2 linked regions of the Caenorhabditis elegans genome follow. The protein of the gene in region 2 purifies or fractionates together with the protein of the main gene of each other region. This does not show direct contact. Each region holds a gene or a part of one and is shown on either strand. Other genes may lie near its edges. The genes, in order: sqv-5 and mig-22.

Region 1 (8,161 bases), on a different chromosome or scaffold from region 2:
GTCGTAATCTCATTTACGAAAATTCAAGGAAAACCCTAATTTGACTATTTTCAGTTGTGTTCGTCGTTGGTATGCAGCCCGTAAAGGTTCAATGGAAGGATCATCATGTCCACTTTGTCGTGCTCCTTGGACTGGTCGTGCCGGTGTTCTGATGATGACAACAATTCAGAAAAATGTGAAGAAAGCCGGTATAACATCAGCAAACACTTCATCCGATTCATCTTTGCCTTCTACTTCGAGTCTCCCAAACAATTGATCTTAATTTCGGTTATTCCTCCCATATTGTACCAAGATTCTCATTCATTCTTATATTTTATAGTTGTGTGCGTTATCATGTGGTTATTTAAATTATACTTACTTTTTTGTCAAATTGATGTCTTACATGACAACTTGTAAAGTATTGATTCCACAATTGTTCATTACTACACTCTGCAATCAATTAATTTATTTCGAGTAAGCACAGAACACCGATGCTTGTTGTAGTTGGGGGAAGAGAAATGGCAACAGAATGGACAAAATGATGATGGTGAGACAATTGTGTAAAGCTAGAAACAATCAAAGATTTGATGGAAATCTCATATTAATATGAAAGAAAACAATTGAATTAAGGAATTTAAAGCGAAGAACAATCAATAATGTTTTAAGTGAAATAAACATTTGAACAATGAAAGGCTGAGCTTTATAGGGGAGCATGGGACAATTACTCGTTTCAAAATAGGTCATTAACTGAACTATTATATTATTTGACATGAACTGAATTAATTAATTTGAAATTTGAACTTCAAATGGGGGCAAGCTCCGTGTGCTTCTTGTGAAAATGGCAATGTTAGGAAATTATGATGGAAAATGGTAAAACTCAACCGGGGAATAGAAAATATATAATAATCGTGATTAATCAAATGGATGCAATAAAGGAATTTTGGGGGAAAAGTGAGTGTGAGAAGTGGATAAAACAAATCAAAGAAACAATAATTACCCGGATGAAAACTGAGGGACAACCGTATTCATAAAAACGGAAAGAATTCGAAAATTGAGAAAGAAAAAACGGGAAGATAGAGGTGGAAAACCGGCAAGGCTATCATGTGTACTGGGCAATCTGCTCGACAAGTGTATCAATTGAAGCAAGACTTGCTGCTTTTGAACCATGGCACATATCCTTTTGAGCAGTTGGCATATTTTCATCGCAATGAATTGGGTGATAGATGTGAACAAGTCCAGGTTCAGGGACTCGAATCACTCGGAGACGACCGTTTTTGATTGCCTGAAAAATTTGGAGTTTGTTAAGAAAATACAATGTTGTGTACAGGTAAGAAATCAAAAAAAATTACAAAAAATACTCAAAACTTCTTCAACTTCGGAGACGCTCTAAATTAGGAATATTCAGAAAATTGAATTTTGTAGGTTTTATGGATTATCCCTCGGGGCCTGCCGGTTTTTTGCATTGACTCAAAAATAAATCAAAAAAACTTTAAAAACTATTTTTGGGGTTTTGCAAAAAGAAGAAAGTTGAATTTCTGTAACATGCGTATTTAATTCTGCATGGAAAATTTTTCGAAAAAAATGGAAAAAATTTTAAAAAACTACAAACTCCCAGTTTTTATTTTGTCAAAATGAAGTCGCAGAAAATATTTCTAAAAGAGATATTTCAGAGAAGCTTCAAATTTATTCTAAACATAAAAAAAGATTTTTGTAGGTTTTACAGATCATTCTTTAGACACACTGAAAAGTGGATGTTTGCGATTTTTTGAATTTGCATTCCTGGTCTTGTGTATTACCTTCTCAAACAAGTCAACATCTTCCTTTCCCCATCCTTCGATCTTTGTGTCAAACCCTCCGACATCCATCAAATCCGCCTGAAATTAAAAATTTATTGAAGAAAAAATATTTTCTCAAAATATCTTACCTTGTACATCGCTGCGAGACCATAACCAAAATGTCTAAAATATCCACGTCCACGTCCATAATGGAAGGCGTCAGCCAATAACTTGTCATTTTCAGACCAACTCTCATGTGAGAATTCAGAAAAAACGATCGGGAAGTAGATTTGTGCGTTGAGAATTGTATTCGATTTTATACGTTTCAATGCATCACATGTGAATAGCATATCAACATCAGTAAAGAATAGAAGAGCATTGGCTGGAAGAGTTTCAGCTCCACGCATAAGAGCAACACCACGTGAGAATGAAACATCACCCATTTCGATTACTGTTACTGGGATGAAGCTTGCACGGAGCATTTCAATCGTTTCTCTGTAAATTATAAAATATCCCAATTGGGTTTTAAAAATTTCTTCTAGAGCTCAAAGTTTTTGAGATCCAATTAGACCAAAAATTATTCTTTCTTTCGAATCAATTAAATTTTGTTCGATATTTGTAAACACATTCATTTTTGATTTATAAATTGGATTTTCATTCCGAAATAGGTAGATTTTAAAATTTCCAAAACTTACCTATTCTCCATTTCATCTTCACTCGAGTATAATACAATTGTCAATGAAACAGCTAAATCATCTCCTCCTCTCGCACAAATACTCTTCAAATGTTGAGCAAATCTTGCAAATATGGCAGCTCTTCCTCTTAATGGCATAATCATATGCAATGTTGGATCTTCAATAAGTGTAGAGTTTGCTCTCATATTTGATCGGAACACTCCTTCAGAGAGACTTCGAAGTTTTCCGAATGTTTGTTGAACATACGCGTGTCTTCGAACGGAAATTGTTGTTCTGTTTGGTGGACGGAACTTTTTGAACCAAAGTAACATGTCAAGAACATAATCGACTCCTTTTGTAGGTTCAACACGCATGTATCCATATTGAAGACTTTGAAATTGAAGAACACGACCTCTTTGGCGAGCATTTGTGTTGAACTCGTCGAATAACTGAAAATGGGATAGTTTTTTGGAAAAATTATTTACTCGAATGTTTTTGCGAATTTTGCTTTAAAAATACGGAACTCAGTCTCGACACGGCCGATTTTATAGCGTAAAAGAGTGTGCGCCTTTAAGAAGTACTGTAGCATCCAGAAAATTTGGAAATAGACATACGAAAATTTTTGAGTTTCCGATTTTCCGAAAATTCGAAAAAAGCATTTAAAAATTTCAATACTTGATCTGAATTTTGAACAAACCTGTGTGATAGTGTCGGCCATTTCCGTCCGAATACTCAAATCTACAGTATGCCGAGGACAATTGACCCGATCCGCACAAAACAGAATTTTATTGTTATTAATATATTCCCATGGTGTCAAATCATTCGTTCTATTCGGTGTCATTCGTACCAATGTCTGTGCTTTTGCAGTACTGAGCTCCGAACTCAAAAGACTTCGTTTAGCTCGTGCTTCACGAAGTTTAATTTCTCGATTTCGAAGATGAACCTTCCTCATTACAGCTGGATCTTTAATCGGATGAAGAGTAATTGCATCTTTCAATTCTTTCATATTTTTTGCATATGACTCCTTGATTGCACTTTGATTATTATGGAACAACTTTTGCATTTCATAATTCCACGTGCAAGCTACACCGACATGTTTTCGAATACACCGCCCGAGTTCGACGTCCTCGTGAGAAGTCAGCATGTGTTGGAGGCATGATTCGAGATGAGGAGATACTTTTCTGAAAAATATATAATATTATAATTGTTATCACTGAAAGAGAGAAAAGGTTTGAGTTTTTCATCAAATAGATTAAAACTGCCCCGAAACAGTCGAATTTCATAGTGAGAATTCTCAAAAAATTTCCAAATTTTGCTCAAATCTTAAATTTCATCAATTTGTCCCTGTTGTAGAAGCTGAAATATAGTTGTTATCAAAAATCTTTTTTTCTTGCATATTTTAACTATAAATTCGATTTGTGACTAAATCGTCGAATTAGTGCGAGATAAACTACCAAATTACTCAATGAAAGAGTGATAATTTAATAAAACTGTATTTCAGCAGCTGCAACAAGGAAAAATGACGAAATTTTAGATTTTAGCAAAAATTTGGAAATTTGTTGAGAAGTCAGTTTCAGTTATTTTGACAAAACCCCCACAAATTCTCTTAAAAACAACGTACAATAAGGTGTCCCTGCTCATAACAATTCCAGGTCCTCCCATACAATAATTATCGGTAGATCCAAGAGCTAGAAGACCATATTCCGCACTGTTACCAAGTCCAGCCTGTCCGATGATATGAGCTTTGGATGAATCGACAGATCTTAGGAATAAAGCGAGCTCTTCTCCTCTAATGTAGAGGTCGTCGTCTGCTCGCAAGAACCAATCATATTCATCAGCCATATTCTCTGCCAACCATTTTACCATTGCGAAACTTTTCTTCTGTGGTGGATAAGTATCATCAACTCCTTTCAGACGAATTAATGGCATATCCTCATGCACTGATTCAGTTCCTTCGGCAACAAATATTAAAACTCGTCCGGGAATGTGTTGAGCCCATGTTTTCCAAACATTATAAGCACGTGTATCAACGTATTTTGCAGCAGTCATAATAGCCACAAGAATCAGACCCCTTCGATGACCGGGAAGACTTTGGGATCTTGTGAAAACATCAGCATCAGCACGTTGACTTATCACATCGAGATAATCGAAACCGCCAATTTGTTGTTCTGGGCCACAGATTATTGGATTTGTCAGAGATTTGAGAGCCGTCAGATAGTAAGTGATTGAGAAACCAAACAGGATTCCGAGTAGGATTGTGACGGTGGCTCGGGAGACCGGCATTCTGCATGTGCTCCGCTGAAACTGACAATAGATTAAACAATGTGAGCATTTTAATTTTTATAAAACTTTTAGTTTATTCAAATCTGAAATAAAAAATTTTCCCAGAAATTTCAGAGATTTTAGGAATTTTATTTTTTTCTGTAACAAAAAAAAAACCTAAAACACTCTATTTTCGGTTTAAAAAAAAGTTTGCGCCTTTAAAGAGTACTGTAGTTCTCATCTTCTCACTGCGGAATTTTCTTCGATGTTTTATTAATTGTTGAAAAAAAAAGAAGAAAATTTGGAGGGTGAAACTTATGAGACATCAAAGAAAGTTTTTTCGAGCAGTTGGGAACTACAGTACTCCTTTAAAGCGCACACTATTTTTGGATTTTAAATTTTACGAGTTTTCGAAAAAAATCACTTCAAATTTTGGGCTTTTTTCCTCGTATCAAATTATTTTTTGTTAAAATTTGAAATGTTTTTATTATTTTAAAATTTTTTTTCGATTTTCCGAATAATCAAAAACTGGATTTCAATTTAAAAAATTTTAAGCAGAAATTTACAATTTTTCGATTAGCTCTAGAAAAACAGAAAAATTGAACAGTTTTAAAAAAACTGGAGACTACAGTACTCCTTAAAGGAGCACACTCTTTTACATTTGAGAAAATCGGTCGCTTCGAAACCGGGTACCGTATTTCTTGGAACAAAAATGACGAATTTTCAGATCTGGGAATTTTTATAGAAGAAAAAACAGGCTTTTATTTTAATTTTTCGACAATCACGTAAACTCAGGCCTATTGTTGACCAAAATTTGTTCATTATGAAGAAACTGGTGTCATTCATCTGCTGACCCCGTTATGCATAAATGAATCATATTTCTTTTGATTTTAGAATTATATCAAAAAATGACTCACCACTCGCATACTCTCTTCCGTGTCTTCTCGATTACCGGATGAGTCGTCGAGCAAGAGTGTCTGCGTCTCCTCGTCCGCCGCCTTCTCTCCTCCTCCGATCCAAAATCGACTGATGATGGTTCTCACTGTTATTTTTGTTATTTTCTGTGTTTTTTCTGCTGAACGTTTGCACTGGATAGTGTGGTGTGTTCGTCAGGTGTTTTGTTGTTGCTGATGATGTTGGTGGTCGTAGTGAGATGATTGTGATGAACTTCTCGTGGATTTGATGAAGATGATTAACACTGAGAAGATGAGCAGGTGGCGACATATAATTGCACGTCAGATGGCACTCTGATTCATTGATTTTCGTCGCGAATCGCACCGCACCGCCGCTCCTCGTGTTGGAACTTTGAGCAGAAAGCTGCAAAAAATACACATGAAAATTAAAAATAATAAATATATATGAAGAAGTATACGAAGAGAATTCTAGAAAAAAAAATTTAATTTCAATATGTCTATCAAATTATAAAACATCTTGTCAATTTATTCAAATTTTTAGAAAATTTAATTCGAAAAAAAAATTTCTTCAGAATTTTTTTGTTGTAAAATTGATATTATAAGAATTTCAGATTTTTTAAAATTTTGTCTAAATCAAAAACTCAACTTTTGAAAAAAAAAATCCAATAATATCTGAGTTTTTAAAGTGAATATCGACAAAACATAGACCAAGACGATATGAAAAACAATACAACGGTTGGCATGAGAAAACACACAAAGAGCAAGGAGCAAGAAAAAAACAGATCGCAGCCACCTAGTCTATGTGAAAATGTTTTTTTTTCTTTCATTTTTGCAGAAACGGAATCAGCGAAACAAAGGAATGAAAATAAGGCTAGTAACGGATGGGAAAGACAGTGAATTAGCACTTGAAAGATCGTAAGAAACACAGAGGCCCAACAATTAAAGTGACGGCGACGAGCGGTACGCGAAAATTCATGAAATTCCGAGGCACGAGAAAAAGAATAAAACTCACTTCCCCTTTCGATTATGAATGATTGCGACATTTCCGATGAAGAGAAAGGCAAGAAAATTGGCCGATTTCTTTGAGAATTTATGGAAATATTCGATTTTAATGGTTTCTAACATAAAAAAGCGAAGCATTCTTTGGAATTGCATATTAACTAAAATTATGGTATCTTGTGGACAGCCGATAATGATTTGATTAAGAAAAGAAACACGAAAATGAGGAAATTAGTTAGAGCTAATTTCAAAACCTTAGTTTTGTAAACCAGGATTTTTACGATTTTTTCGATTTTTCGGTAAAAATTCAAATTTCCCATAATTTCTCTGTTAGAAAATGTTGATAATCAAAATATACATCTTTTCTTGATAAATTCATAATTTTCACCTAGTTTGTTCTTTTTTTTTCGATAAATCAAAGAGAAAATTGGATTTTTTCAGTAAGCCAAGATGAAACTAGACTTATTTTTGGAGTAATAGTGAAAGTTCAACTTTTTCACACAGAAAAAAAAGTTCAAGCCGGACAATCGCGCGCCACCTATTATATAAATTTGTCCAAACCCTCTTAAGACATTTTGTCTGAAATTTAAACTGGTTAATAGGTTAGCAACCGATGGCCTCTTAAAATAGAAAGTTGGCAACACAAAAAATTTTCGAGGGGTCGAAACAAAAACTACTGTTTTCAGTTTCACTCGCCGCCAAAATGTTCGATACTGATGTAGATACTTCAAGATGAGAGCGTGAAAATAGGCGGAACAAAAGGTGATCACAAGGTGGGAGAATGTACCCACTAACAACACATACTCAATAGCTATCTATCAAATCTTGACTGAAAAATAACAAAAACACACATAAAAATGGGTAGATATATATTAGAGAGTAGAGAGAGAGAGAGGGATAGTTGATAACTTTTCGAACCGCAAAACATGTGTGAAACTTTGACACGTTCTCACTTTCTCATCAGCCCATAAAATCCAACACTTGGGTGGTATACTGAATGGATAAAGGAAAAGGTATTGAGAGAGAGAGAGTGAGAGTGATTGAAACATATGATTTTGTGAAAAAAAAAATGTGTCGGAAGGTGTCAGGATGAACTCTTTCTTAGCAGGTTATCTTGAGTGACCGATATCTATATAAAATTCTCCAGAATTTATAGTTTTGGATACTTTGTTCCAAACTATTAAAACAAATAAACCTTCTGAATTTTAAGGTGTCGCATGTTAGGATTTAATTGGAAATTACTCTTAGCAGCTCCTACAGAAGGGTTTAATTTGGGATTTTTAACATTCGAAACGAAAAATCCGGAAAGAATTTTTGCAATATTTCAATAACATAAAAATTAATTTCAAAAAAATTAAAAATATTTTAATACCACTTTTTTCAAAAAAATAATGTGAAAGAGATTTCGATGTTTTAGTCGTCAATCCTTGATTTGTGTGCTATACCTCCTGATAAACGAAATCCGAGGAATCAAATGGAATTCGAATAAAAATGGTTCGGATTGATATTAAGGAGATACAACATGAATCAATGATAACCGAGACACAAAAAGAAAGAA
Region 2 (6,478 bases):
ACAAAAACTAGCTGAATTAGTTTTGATAAAGAGCAGTTTGTTAAAATTTCTATCGCTGCAATTTTTTAAACAAAAGTGAAGTTTTTCAAAAAGAAATGAACAAATATTTTTCCGTTCGCAACTATTTTCAACACATGTGCGCAGTCTAGAAAACAACAGAAAACAAAAAATATATACGAAATCGTAGGAAATGCAAAGAACGATGATTGTAAGAGAAGGACAGGAGAGCAAAATGGTTTTCTTATCATTCCAGAGGTTTTTTCTCACTTTTACAGTGCATATTATGCACGTTGTCGTTCTGCGGGCAGAAATGAACATAGAAAATTAAAAAAAAACATAATAAATTGAAGAGTTAAACTTAAAATGGAGAATTTCCGAAAAGAAAAATCGATTTCGAAAACATCTTTACCGTAGTTTCCATCAAAGACGCAATCTACATCTTGGGCGCGCGGGTCTCACCACGTCTTTTAAAAATTACCGTATCCACCTCAAATTTTCAAATAATAATTATAATTCCGTTCTTTCAAAGGAAAATTTGAGATTTTAATGCGAAATGTCCTTAAAAAGAAAAAAAAAGAAAATGTAGTAAAATATTAAGTTTTGCGACAATTTAAAAAAGAATAGCCCAACTTCCTTTTAAACAAAATATTTTGTTTTAAAATCATGTTGCAAGGCCTGCGAAATTTGATTTTTTTTGACAAGCACTGTTCTTCAAGAAAATCAAAACAAAAATTTATGATTAAAAATCACAGATATTCATAAATTATAGAAAAAGTGGACGGGTCGAGATAGTATGTACTTTGTTTAGTGAATTAAAAAATGTGGCACAATTTAACATAAACTGTAAAAAATGAATTATTTGACGACGGGGATAAAGCATCGGGTTGTGGCAAGCGGGCTAAAAATTATTTAATGAAAAACCGCCGGGATTATCGTATTCACATGAAAAGAAAATGTTATGCTCGGAGCAAGAGGGCAAAGTGAAAATTGTAGTGCAATAGGAAGGTGAGAAAGGGAAAATAGGAAACCGTATTTGCAGAAATATCATGGACAAGTTGGGAGTAGAAGGGTGTTCATTTTTCGTGGAATAACAATTTTGCCAACTGATCCTTCGCCGCCACGTTTTCCTTTTTACTGTCCAGGCAACGAGCGATATCTTCGGTGTCGATGCTTTCCATGTCACAGCTTCTTTTGTGATATCTGTAAGTAATTCATTAATTAATAACACTGGAACAACACAAAATTTGGCGATCTTACCGAATTCGGAGAGTTGGCTCAACAGCCCTAAGTACATGTATAGAATCTTGTCCCAAGAACGCAGAAATCAAGTCGTTCCGTCTCTCATTTTGACCGAATTTAGCTCTTGCTGTCACATAATCCACACCATAAACGGCGAAACAAGAGAAATCTTGAGAATCAAATCGTCCATGTTCTTTTTGTACAATCAATGTTCTTTTCCTTTTTGGTTCAACTCCATCTCTTAATCGTGATAAAGCAGCTTCACGAGCTTGTTCTGTCGGCGTCTCTTTTTCTTCTTTTTCTGTCATTTCCATTCCAGAGATTGTCGGATGATATTCAACAAATGGAACTGGGAAGAAAACTTGATAATGTTTAATCGTATTGATACGAGCTCGATCAAAGAACTCTTTTTGAACATCTGCATGTGGAGAAAGTAGAAGATAGATTGTATTGGCTCCGTATCGATCCACAGCATCATCCAACGCAGCAGCAGCAGCTGTTCCCTTTCCTTCTGTACTAACAGCAGGATGTACTGGAAGAACATCTGTTTCCAAAAGTGATCGCTTGCATCGTCGCTTTAATTCTTCCATATCATTAGTGATAGCAGTCACTGAACGAGATTCGATTAATGGGAAAACGGCTACAACCATTCGAGTTTTACGGGCTTCTTCTGTGGGGAAGAGACAGAGGCGAGCTTGTCTGGCAAGAAGTTTCCGGGCTGGGAGAACCTACAATATATACATATTTTCAATTTGTTTATATCAAAACAATTAAAAATGGGAACCAATTTTTTTTTGAAAAACCTTTAGAAAAACACTTTTTGTATGTTCAACAATATATAAGTTCTAATCAAAGATGTTGATTTTCGATTTTACACTAAAATATTTCGAAAATAGCTTTAAATTTTGGATATTTTTTAAAAATAATAAAAGTATATTTTTCTCATGATTTTTCTATCAACATAAACAATTTTTTTTAAAATTGAGTTTTTGTTAAAACATTTTTTTTATTTTTGAAAAATCGAAATTTTATAAACATTTTTCGACAATCCCTTCTCTTTGTGGTTTTCAATTTTATAAAACTAACGTCTTTTTCACTAGCAACTGGAATAACGACAGTGACATCTGTGTCTTCTTTCACATATGGTGCCTGGTTCATAAGCTGCGTACTTGCAATCATTCGACTAACGTGCACTCTTCTTTCCACAACAATCTCTTTGAGACTTTCCTCATGTGCAGCCTGAGATTGTAAACAAATTTATAAACTTTCAGAAAATCTGTTTCAGATTTAGATTTAGATATTCTAGAACTTTTATTTACCTCATTATCACTTTCAAATCGATTATCAACTTCAGGCATTTCATTGACAGTCTTTCGATATGTCAAATCAACCATATAATCCATTCCTCTCCGTGGATCAAAAACTCGATATCCATTTCTCAATTGAACAAATTCAAGCTCTGGTTCTTCTGATTCAACTTGCTGCCGAGCAGCCACCACAACTTCAGCAACATCATCGAAATCTTTTCCTTCAAGACGTCGAACATTTTGATTAGGTTCACTTCGAAAGAGTTCAGTCATCGTAAAGTACTCCCAAGTCGAAACTTGATACCGATTTGGTGGTTTTGCATACGGTGGAAGTGCTGGTGGCCAGCTGATAGCTTCTCCTGTTTCACGAGCTTCTTGCTCAGCCAGACGAGAAAGTTCAGCTTCCATTTTGATAATTTCTCGATCAGCTCTTTGCATTTCAACTCGAACGAAATAATCATGAAGTGCAGATGCATCTGCATCAGAAAGTAATCTTGGCACAGCAAGAGCTCTCTTAAATGCTGGTGAATGTTTCCAGTCCTCAATCGAGTCATGAGCAGCTGGCGAATCAGCTCTCTCGGCTCCTCGCCAAACTTCATAACGAACTCCTTGATGAAGCGGCTTACATGTCAAATTTGTTGCGATTTGAATGCACTTTTCAAATGCGAGTTGATCGTCATCGGCTGCCAGTGCGAAATTGTTGCAAGCATTCCGATTGCTGAAAATATTCAGTTTAAAACACTTTTCAGTTTATCATAATGTGAAAATTTTGATTTAAAGCTTACTTCATCAGAGCATGCATTGCTGGCTGACTGAGCAACATTCCAGTATCCAATCGGCATCGTCCACTTCCATCTTCAGCTGCTTCACCCATCACAACTGGTTCATTCCAATTCATCTGACAATTAACAACTATTTTACAAAAACAATTACTGGATAAAATACCGTATCAATCATTCTGAGCAAAACGAATGGGTTGATATACGTCGAATCTTTGGCAAGTAGAAACCAGTCATAGTTGTTGTGGACTGTCTGAAAACATTTTATTTTTAATCAGGAAATGCAACTCCGACAGGAAGAAGCCAAAAAGAACAATTGAGATACTCTGAACAGGGGAATTTTTACACCAAAATCGACTTTACAACATGGGGTAAACTTACTGAAAAACATTCAATTGACAATTATAATTGATTCTGAAATAGTTTTATGACTTTTTTTTTTGAAATACGAGTAGTTGACAACTACATAAAAAAACATTTTTGAACAACTCAACTAACCATATTGAAAAGGAGACCCAAAACCATCGAATGCGTCTTTTGTCCGTTTAGTTTATATGGACTCAAATTGGTTAACTGGGCCAAGTCATTGTCGATTCTTGAAGAGTCAGCAAACAAATGTACACGTGGAACATGGCGCCCAAGAGTTGCATTAATAGAAAGAGCCAATGCAGACTCAGCCATCACTGCGGCCATAACTCGTTCACGTGTACCGAGTTCAGTGGCTGCAAATCGAGTTCTTGTAACCTTTGGAGTAGCGTCTTGATTATGAGGAGGCGCTGGCATATCGTCTTGGTGAACCTAAATTTGATTCTTTCATGAAATTTTGTGTTTTTTTTAAAGCTACTCACAATCCAATGCTCAGATAAATCTTTATATACTCGCCCTTTCTCCAGTGCCGATGGTTCAAGAACATTCGTTTCTGTTTCTTGATTCTGACATGATGTAAATGCAGCCAATGAGCTGGTCAAGTCTATACTTGGTGTGGATGAAAAGAAGAAGAGCGCGAGAGCGGCACCTATAAGGAATCCAAGAAGCAAGTGTATGCCTGTTCGACCGCCGCCGACCATTCTTCGATTCTAAAAAAGGAATAGAGAATTATTAAACTTTTTTTCAAAGCCGGTGAAAAACGTACCAAACAGTCAGCAATACGCCTTGATACAATTCCAATAACGAAGTTTTCTTGTGAAGAAGCTCTGAAAATTTACAATAAGAAAGTGAAGTGAACAAGAGCAAATAGTGATGTTTGAGCATGAATGAGCAGAACACAGGTTAACTGATCAAAGAAAAGCGTGAAAAGACAATACGGGTTTATGAATGAATGCAAAACAGTCGTCATAGAAGATGTGTGTGACAATGCTCGTAAAATGATTGCAGGACATGTGAGTGGAGCGACAACCTTCTTCGGTATGCGATGCAGACGGAAGACAAAAAAAACGAGAAGAGGCTGTGATCGACGCCGACGTTGTAAGAAGGTGTTTGAAGAGATAGTCTTGAGTTGAAAGAGACGCAGACATTATGTTCTGTACTTGACCTGACTAACTAAGGTCATTTTAGAAAATTTAATGTTCGAGGACAGTGAAACCGTTAATAACATGCTATTTTGAGAATGTTTTTCTAATTTCTTAATTTTCAAGATTTTATCTCAATTTTAATTGAATTAGGAAATTAAGTTCGAAATATGACAGATAATTCGTGGGAATAATTAAAATAACATATACATTGGAATTATGAATATCTTTTTAGTAGTTTTAGAATGAACATCTAATAACAATCAAATATAGGAAAATCCGAAATAAGATTTTGAATTTAACGGAATTTTGATAAATTTTATTGGTTTGAATCAATAAAATTGTAGAAATAAAGTGGTTTTTTGCAGTGAAACTTAAAAAATAAAAATAAACCGATGACAAGAGAAAAGCGAGAGAAACACTGAGTAAACTGTGCGGCGTGTTTGCGGAAATCGCGTGCCAGGCTTGCAACAGTGCGCGATTCAACTCCGCCCACAAAAAATGCAATTTTATTTTTGCTTTTCCATATTTAACAGTTGTTTTGAGCCCGTTTTTATTTGTAAAATGTATATACTATGTTTAAATCTTTTCGTTGAACATTTAATATTGAATTTTTAAAAATAACTCATATTTTGCTCAATCGATAAACCAAAATTATAGAAAATGCTTCGTTCACTTTCCACGATCTCCAAGTCTACCGTCCGCTGTATGTCATTGACATCCAAAATGGCTGCTGAGCAACCGAGCAAGCAAGAGGTAAGTTGAAAAACAGCGAATTGTGCAATTATGAAATTTTTGTCTGTTTCAGGTTGATGACTTGTTCGCTGAAAAACCACAACATCATAACCCAGAACAAAGACGGCATGCATACAGGTATGATATGAGTTTTACACAAATGTTAAACTTGCATTTTTCTGAACTAGGAGATTAATAATTTGTATCAAAGTTCCTGCTAGAAAAAATAAAATGTCACAATTTTCAAAAGCACAAACGCAACGATTGACAATAAAAATTACTTATTAAAAAGTCGTTCGAATATTGTTGTAAAATAGCTGTGAAAGATACAATTTCAATTTTGAAAGCATAAAAAAACAAATTTTGAATTCAGATCATATCGATTCAAAATTTATTTATTATCACTATTTCAGTGTGAATAAAGTGGAACTAGTCGGAGGAGTCGCCTTGGATCCATTGTACAAGACTGGAAGGAACGGAAAACCTTACCTCATCTTCAATATCATCACCAACTCGTACTTCAAGCAGCAAGACGGAACTACTCTCGATCAAACTGAACGTCACGCCGTTTCAGTTTTCGGAAAGCAAGCCGAAATCCTTTCAAAAACCATCAAGAAAGGATCCCGTCTTATGGTTCAGGGGAGACTTCATTATTCTGGAGGACAGAAGGACGAACAAGGAAACCGTACACAACGCAACACCTACATCATCGCTCAAACTGTTCAACCATTGGCTCGAGCAGCTAGAGAGAATCCAGATCAACATTAATTTTCAAAATTTTTTAAATATTTAGAATCTCCGATAATAGACCATTGTTGTTGTTTTTGTTGACGAGTTATTTACCTGATTAAACATTATCTCATATTTAAAAAAAAAAGTTTTATTTGATTGCATACCTGGTTTTCTAACC

The links.
Region 1: the proteins of mig-22 (region 2) and sqv-5 purify together in Caenorhabditis elegans (affinity purification with western blotting, with the first as the bait; one study listed by BioGRID). This does not show direct contact.

Annotation. Positions count from the first base shown.
Region 1 is NC_003279.8:9,945,658-9,953,818, reverse strand, and holds sqv-5 (Hexosyltransferase), read right to left. Parts: upstream 6,008-8,161; 5' UTR 5,711-6,007; coding exon of another isoform or gene 5,639-5,710; 5' UTR 5,617-5,638; coding exon 5,608-5,616; intron 4,733-5,607; coding exon 4,050-4,732; intron 3,610-4,049; coding exon 3,126-3,609; intron 2,878-3,125; coding exon 2,450-2,877; intron 2,250-2,449; coding exon 1,904-2,249; intron 1,854-1,903; coding exon 1,776-1,853; intron 1,262-1,775; coding exon 1,079-1,261; 3' UTR 432-1,078; downstream 1-431. Other genes in the region: T24D1.2 (RING-type domain-containing protein), read left to right, coding at 55-256; T24D1.7 (uncharacterized protein), read right to left, coding at 5,639-5,710.
Region 2 is NC_003281.10:8,762,818-8,769,295, forward strand, and holds mig-22 (Chondroitin sulfate synthase mig-22), read right to left. Parts: upstream 4,519-6,478; 5' UTR 4,458-4,518; intron 4,402-4,457; 5' UTR 4,393-4,401; coding exon 4,174-4,392; intron 4,124-4,173; coding exon 3,824-4,123; intron 3,740-3,823; exon of another isoform or gene 3,707-3,739; intron 3,579-3,706; coding exon 3,492-3,578; intron 3,445-3,491; coding exon 3,332-3,444; intron 3,265-3,331; coding exon 2,559-3,264; intron 2,479-2,558; coding exon 2,326-2,478; intron 1,968-2,325; coding exon 1,258-1,967; intron 1,201-1,257; coding exon 1,074-1,200; 3' UTR 722-1,073; downstream 1-721. Other genes in the region: mtss-1 (Single-stranded DNA-binding protein, mitochondrial), read left to right, coding at 5,497-5,589, 5,642-5,706, 5,982-6,336. UniProt on the Caenorhabditis elegans protein: Has both beta-1,3-glucuronic acid and beta-1,4-N-acetylgalactosamine transferase activity. Transfers glucuronic acid (GlcUA) from UDP-GlcUA and N-acetylgalactosamine (GalNAc) from UDP-GalNAc to the non-reducing end of the elongating chondroitin polymer.